Linked DNA regions of Macaca fascicularis. The protein of the gene in region 2 purifies or fractionates together with the protein of the main gene of each other region. This does not show direct contact. Links are inferred from orthologs where the notes say so. Each region holds a gene or a part of one and is shown on either strand. Other genes may lie near its edges.

What was found. Proteins that work in one complex are often made in the same cells at the same time.
Region 1: the proteins of CDK13 (region 2) and CCNK purify together in Homo sapiens (affinity purification with mass spectrometry; 4 studies listed by BioGRID and IntAct, counting the BioPlex papers as one, with this or other methods). This does not show direct contact. The link is inferred for Macaca fascicularis from reciprocal best matches to the Homo sapiens genes CDK13 and CCNK.

What each region holds. Positions count from the first base shown.
Region 1 is NC_088381.1:167,585,845-167,589,675, forward strand, and holds the end of CCNK (cyclin-K), read left to right. Parts: intron 1-1,627; coding exon 1,628-2,253; 3' UTR 2,254-2,987; downstream 2,988-3,831. UniProt on the Homo sapiens protein: Regulatory subunit of cyclin-dependent kinases that mediates activation of target kinases.
Region 2 is NC_088377.1:90,409,681-90,413,601, forward strand, and holds part of CDK13 (cyclin-dependent kinase 13), read right to left. Parts: intron 1,000-3,921; coding exon 340-999; intron 1-339. UniProt on the Homo sapiens protein: Cyclin-dependent kinase which displays CTD kinase activity and is required for RNA splicing.

The sequences.
Region 1 (3,831 bases), on a different chromosome or scaffold from region 2:
GTTTAGGGAGGGGTTTGGTGGCAGTGTATGGCACTTGGTCAGGAGCAAGTGTACAGAGGGGATGGGGTGCCGAGGATAGACCCCCACTTGCTGTTCGAGCTCAGTCACACAGCACAAGGGCGGGTGCACTGGTGACTTGAAGATTCAGGCTGCAGGGTCGAGTGTTGGAAGAGTTGGCTTCTGCAAGGTAGAGGAGCAGGCCTGTGGCCCAGGTGGCTGTGGAATGACGCACAGGAGGCATTGAAGGGTGTCAGCGCTTTTCTGCACCTCTTTTTTAGTCAGCTTCTGGAACCACAGGGCATCTGGCCCTGACCTGGAGCCAAAGCCAGTTCTCTAAGGCCAGGCATATATGGCCTTCCTGCCCAGTGGCTGGCGAGGGCTGATCTGCACAGGCAGTCCCCAGTGGCACACCTGTTACCAGCCCGATCGATCCTGCTCATGCTCGCTTTGGCAAGGTCAAACGGGTTGTGTGCCAATGGCCACGTCTCCACAACCAGGATGTCATGCTCTGCCTTCCCTAACCCAAGTGCCTGGGGAACCAGAAGCATCTTCATGGCCTTTGTCCTCTTTATGTTCTCTGGAACCAGAAATGTTGTGCCTATGGTTTGTCTCCTGTGCTGCCTTGGGAAAGGACACTCATTCTGTGTGTTTGGCTACTTGTGGTGGGGTGTTCCGATGCCATTTTCCAGGGGTCTGATGGTGACCAAGAGATCACAGGCCAAAATGTGTTAAATAAGGCTTTGGCGGAAGGGGGCATGAGGGCTCATGGGCTGGGAGGCGCTGCGGGAGGGGCCTGAGGCTGGTTCTGAGCACAAGTATCTTGGGTGTGCTTGACACCTAGTGCTGCCTATCCCTGCTGCACACACACAGCAGCACGCACACACACGAAGCATGCACACACACAGCAGCACGCACACACACGAAGCATGCACACACACGAAGCATGCACACACACAGCAGCACGCACACACACAGCAGCACGCACACACACGAAGCATGCACACACACGCAGCACGTAGCACGCACGCGCAGCACGCCTGCACACACTCCTCTCGAGGCTGCTATCTGAGAGTACGCAGTGGGGTTTGATCTAGCCCCTCTTGAGTAGAATAGAACCTGAATTGCTGCTTCGATGGGTACATTGGGAATGTCAGAGACTTGTACGGAATTATTTTAAATGCCATCACATTCATTTGACCAACTCTGAGGCTTTCTGCAAAATGCCACTGCTGCAGACAGGAGTTCAGTGTGGCCCTGACTCTTGGGGTCATTTTCTGAAGGCAGAAAAACAGGGGAGCCCCCACACATTTTACACTAGGAAGAGGGGGCTGGGGCCAGGGCACAAGGGGGCTTCGTGTGCTGCCGAGACTGCCTGCGGGTGGTGTGGTTAGGGCTGAGGGAGGGAAAACCCCAGCTCATCACAGACAGGGTGGAGGGCCTTTTTGACAAATGGTGGGGAGACATCTGGTGGCATCAGGACATGGGGAACGGGCCCATGTGTTGGGCCACAGAGGAGGGGGCAGCTGCTCCCTGCTCCTCTGTAAAGATGGCCCTGAAGGGCCAGGAGGCACTGAAAAAGCAGCTATTGCTTGCAGAGGCCGGGCACCAACACATCTCTCTCCTGCAGACCGGAAGCCTCCCCTCGCTGCTGCCTTAGGTGAGGCTGAGCCGCCGGGCCCTGTGGATGCCACTGACCTCCCCAAAGTCCAGATTCCTCCTCCGGCTCACCCGGCCCCTGTGCACCAGCCACCGCCGCTGCCACACCGGCCCCCGCCCCCGCCGCCCTCCAGCTACATGACTGGGATGTCCACCACCAGCTCCTACATGTCTGGAGAGGGCTACCAGAGCCTGCAGTCCATGATGAAGACCGAGGGACCCTCCTACGGCGCCCTGCCCCCCGCATACGGCCCACCTGCACACCTGCCCTACCACCCCCATGTCTACCCACCCAATCCGCCCCCACCACCTGTGCCTCCTCCCCCAGCCTCCTTCCCCCCACCTGCCATCCCGCCCCCTACTCCTGGCTACCCTCCACCCCCACCCACCTACAACCCCAACTTCCCACCCCCACCCCCACGCCTGCCCCCTACCCATGCAGTCCCCCCTCATCCTCCTCCAGGCTTGGGCCTGCCTCCAGCCAGCTACCCACCTCCTGCCGTGCCCCCTGGAGGACAGCCCCCTGTGCCCCCGCCCATTCCCCCACCTGGCATGCCTCCAGTTGGGGGGCTGGGGCGGGCAGCCTGGATGAGATAACGTGAGCCTTTTTTTCCCCCTTTGTTTTTTTTAACAAGTTTTTCTAATCGACTTGCAGAGTAGTTGAAGTGGGTAAGCAGCAGGGTACCTTGTATAATGCGCGACAGTTGCAGTATGGGAAGAATGGACCAGGCCCCTGGGATAAAATCAGGGTGGTCCTCACATCTAGAGGACAGGGACAGCCAGCTTTCAGAGTAGCCTCATCAGCGCCCTTGCAGTCTGACTGTGTACACTTGGTTCAGCTAATGTCCGAGAGTCCTGCACTGGGTTACTTTATACTAGTGAAGATGTTAACCAGCCATATTGGCTCAATAAATAGCTTCGGTAAGGAGTTAATTTCCTTCTAGAAATCAGTGCCTACTTTTCCTGGAAACTCAATTTTAAATAGTCAAATTCCATCTGAAGTCAAGCTGTTGTCATTTTCATTCAATGACGTTCTCTCCCATGACACCCAGAAGGGTCAGAAGAACCACATTTTTGATTTATAGATGTTTGCATCCTTTGTATTAAAATGATTTTGAAGGGGTTGCCTCGTTGGATGGCTTTTTTTTTTCCTCCAAGGAGAAGGGGAGAAATGTACTTGGAAAGTAATGTATGTTTACATCTATTTGCAAATTCCTGTACATAGAGATACATTTTTTAAGTGTGAATGTAACGACATACTGTGAATTCCATCTTGGTTACAAATGAGACTCCTTCAGTCAGTTATCCAAATAAAAGCAGTTCTGAAACTATCCCTTTCTCTGTTAATGGGTGGAAGGTAGGGCTCCAGGCCTTCGCAGTCCCCGGGTAACATTGTACAAGCCCCTCCTTCCGGACCCTGGGCACCGGGAGAGGCCTGGCTGCAGTTCACAGGAGCCAGAGCCAACCCCACTGCCTCCCAGGGCACTCTGGGTGGATCGGCACATTTGCCTGCCAAGCCAGCCTGCACCCATCCTGTGCCTGCCTTGGTTTCCTTTGGAGGACCTGGTTGAGTTCCAAACCAGCTTGAAACTTTCAAGCCTTGCTGCATAGAACACAGACGGGAACACAGGCTTGGGTTTGAAACCCTTTCCACTTCTGGCCTGCGATGAGACGGAGGCAGCTGGAGGAGCAGCGGCCTCACCATCCACCTTGAGGGGCCAGGGCTGTGTCTGTGGAAGGGGCCCCGACTGAGCCCCCATCTGAGGTGCTTGAAGGGCCTTGGCCCTGTCTCTGCTTGCTGACCCTGCCACCCATGACGGAAACAAGCACTGAGCACCCAGCCAGGAGGCTCACAAAGAGGCCTTTATTTATCTAGCTCAAAGTAGACACTATCACAATCTTGTTTATTACTCCTTTTACTAAAATAGTTCAAATCAATGTGTTTACCACACTATCAAAAAGTTCTATTCTTGTCTCCCCACGTCAGAGTGGTTGAATAGAAGGTAGAAACAGGCCGGGAGTCCACAGGCTCCCAGCTCTAAACGGCGCCAGGGCAGGAAGGGGTGGCTCCGGGTCTCACTGTGGCACCTTCTACAGAAAATAAGACGTAGCTGCCGGGCCCGGGGACAGAAACCAGACGTTCCAGTCCATCTCCAAAAAGCAGCACAAATACTT
Region 2 (3,921 bases):
TCATTCATAAAATGTCCTGTTTCTGATTGCCATCATCAAGGAAAACTAAACCAAAGAGAATACTGGTATTTCTAATACCCAAAATCATATTGAAATATTCATTGTATCCCAAGGCAATGGCAATTTTTCCCTGAATGTCTTAGTATAAACTTTAATTTTGCCATCTTGTATGCAATGTGCTTAATTTTAAGATGCATACAATAAAGAAAATTCATTCTCTTACTTGTAGTCTTTTTCACTAAAGTTGTTTTGAGGGGGTTAGGGGAGGTCAAATCATTTCTCAGTTCAGACTTACATTTTTTCTTTGAGCAGTTATTGACAAATACTTTTTTCACTTACCTATCAGCTTCTTTATCTTCAGGCAGCATGGGAGGCAAAGGTAACGGTGGTAATGTAGAGGTCACTAAAGCTACATGTTGCTCCTTCTCCTTGGCTCCTATGCTTGGTGTAAGTGGTTTGGTTTTCTCTTTAAGAGATACTGGTTCCTCCTTTGTAGCAGCAGATTTACTCTCCTTTCCAACTATGACTGCCTTCTTGGCGGCTTTATCTACAATCAAATTATTTTCCACCTTCGTTACCTGAAGAGGTGGCTTTGTTTTTGCTTTGTCATTTTTTAAAGTTCCACCACTTGAGGGAGAAGGTGCATGTTCAATTTTAATTTTCTTCACATCCTTCACATGGTTTGTTTGTGATGCACTGGCACTAGTTTCTGTGTTCCCCTTGGTAGGTGTAGAAGTGTTTGAAGCTTTTGCAGCTTTGGCAGCAGCCTCAGCAGCCTTAGTTGCTTCTGCAGCTTTCGCTGCTTCTGCGGCTCTTGCTGCCTCCGCCGCTCGTGCTTTTTTATTCTTGTTCAATTCAGCTGCCAGGCTACTCTTCAGAGTTAGTGTGCTAGGAGAAATACTAGAATGACGACTTCTGGATCTAGACAATCTGTGCCTGCTACGAGATCTTGAATGCCTAGATGAATATGGGCTTCTGCTTCGGGATTTGCCAGACCGTCTGGTGAGAAATAATTAAGATTTAGTCAGTAATTCAGAAAGGTTCAGTTTGGAATTTACAAAGACAGTGCTAACTCGAGTTTATGAAATAAAATAGAAATTTTACTTAATTTCAAAGTTACATTTTCGAAGGAGTTTTGAAAAATAAAAAGTTCTTTAAAGTAGAATATTATTTGGTGCTCATAGTTCTCTTCAAAATGGATTGCCCCGATCTTGCTTTGGTCTACAAATGTAAAAATGAGGAGGAAAAATGTGACAAGGCATCACTGCTGTCTCAGAAAAAAGAAGTAGGCAATAAGGCTACATCAATGGTAGTAGTAGCAGCAGGGTAAAATCTGACAAATCTTTTACCAGGAGACAGTTGCCACATCTCAAAAGTACCTTACTCAACCATAAGTTCAGAAATAAACAGTGCTCTGTCTACGGCAAGAGTGAAAAAGACAAGACTTACTACTGGGCAATAAATAGAGTCTCTTAGAGTTCGTTTCAGAAAGATAGTTTTAAGAAAATGTACAGCCAGGCGTGATGGCTCACGCCTGTAATCCCAGCACTTTGGGAGGCCAAGGTGGGCAGATCACGAGGTCAGGAGTTCGAGACAAGTCTGGCCAACATAGTGAATCAAACCCCGTCTCTACTAGTACTGCAAAAAGTAGGCCAGGGGCAGTGGCTCAAGCCTGTAATCCCAGCACTTTGGGAGGCCAAGATGGGTGGATCACGAGGTCAGGAGATCGAGACCATCCTGGCTAACATGGTGAAACCCCATCTCTACTAAAAAATACAAAAAACTAGCCGGGCAAGGTGGCGGGCGCCTGTAGTCCCAGCTACTCAGGAGGCTGAGGCAGGAGAATGGCGTAAACCCGGGAGGCAGAGCTTGCAGTAAGCTGAGATCCGGCCACTGCACTCCAGCCTGGGCGACAGAGCAAGACTCTGCCTCAAAAAAAAAACTCTGCAAAAAGTAGCCGGGCATGGTGGCATGCGCCTGTAGTCTAAGGTAGGAGAATTTCTTGAACCTGGGAGGCGGAGGGCAACAGAGCAAGACTCTGTCTCAAAAAAAAAAAAAAAAAATTACATTCACACACATTAACTAAAATAGACACAAGCATAATCACTTTACTCACATAAACACACATATACAAGATAATATCTTATGAGCTACATAATTTCACACAGAAAATGCTACAAACTAAAAACCATCTAATCACTCTTAATCTGAGGCTCTGATACTTTCAAAATGAACGAGAGTAAAAGTTAATATACGTATCATTTAAGTCTTCAAAGTACTTGACAACGATTATTTTACCATAATATTAAACATTTACTAGTTAAGTATTATTACTCCAATTTCTCAGAAGGGAAAAGAACAGAGAGGCAAAGTAAAAATAACTCCCACAAAGAACTATGCCACAAATAGTACTATAGCCTGAACTAGGACTTAGGTTTTCAGGCTCCTTGCTCTATAAAACAATGAGAAACTAAATCTTGGAAACAACTTGATAATGAGGCCATTCGCTTCTCAAAAATTACTGGAAAACATATATTTAAAAATATAGTGGCAACCAAAGTTCCCACAAAACAAATTTAACACAGTACCAAGTGAAAGGAAGCTGAGCTTTTCAAATCCGTGCATTACTAAGACTTTTAAAATATACTCAACAAGACAAAGACACTATGATAATACATTCACGTTATCTCATTTAATGCCCACATCAACCCAGTAAAGTATGCATAGATAACATATAAGAAATTGGGTAAAATATTACATTACCTGAAGTCAACACCTGAACTCATTAGTAGTTGTGTTGCTTATTATCTTACTACAACTACTCTATCTCCCAATACTTTTCTGCTCTACTCTGTGACCAATGATGCTGACCCCAACAGATATGCCTTCTGGGTTCCAGGGCTGTCCTGCCACTGACAGAAGATAAGAAGGCGGAGAAAGGCTGCATTATTTCTTCCTACCTCCCTCCCTCCTCATGGCCACATTTTCTGGCAGAAGCTGCATCCCTCCACCACCATGGTTGCTGTGAGGCACCCTCTTCACAGCTCTCACGAGGCTCCAATAGCACAATATTTTTCCTGCCCCTTTGGGCTTCCCTGTTTCTAGTAAAAACATGCCTTATGGGTTCCCTTAACCCAGGGCACCTCTGCAGTCCCTGCATTAAAGTCTCTTATAACATCTGAGTTGGATTCTATTTTTGCCTAGAACTCAGGTCTTAAACTCAGCATTTTTTTTTAACTCTAAAGTAGGCAGGTTAACACATTAACACACTGCCAAGGAGCTAGCTGGCAAGAATGTGGAGAAAAGGGAACCCTTGTATACTGCTGATGGGAATGTAAATTAGTAAAAACACTATGAAGAACAGTTTGGAGGTTCCTCAAAAAGCTAAAAATAGAACTAGCTATCTTACAATCCAGCAATCCCACTCCTAGGTACATACCCCAAAGAAAGGAAATCAATAATACTAAAGAGATACCTGTGCTCCCATGTTTATTGCAGCACTATTCATAATAGCCAAGATTTGGAAGTAACCTAAGTGTCCATCAACAGATGAATGGATAAACAAACTGTGGTACATATAAACAATGTAGTACTATTCAGCCATAAAAAGAAAATGAGATCCCATCACTTGCAACAGCATGGATGGAACTAGAGGTCATCATGTTACATGAAATAAGTGAGGCACAGAAAGGCAAACTTTGCACGTTCTCACTTATTTGTGGGAGCTAAAAATTAAAACAATTCAACTCATGGAGACAGAGAGTAGAAGGACGGTTACCAGTGGCTGGAAGGGGAGTGACATAGTGGAGGGTCGGGAGAGGGTTAATGGGCACAAAAAATACAAAGAATGAAGGTGACCTACTACTTGTTAGCACAACAGGCTGACTATACTCAATTTTTTTTTTTTTAGTCAGAGTCTCG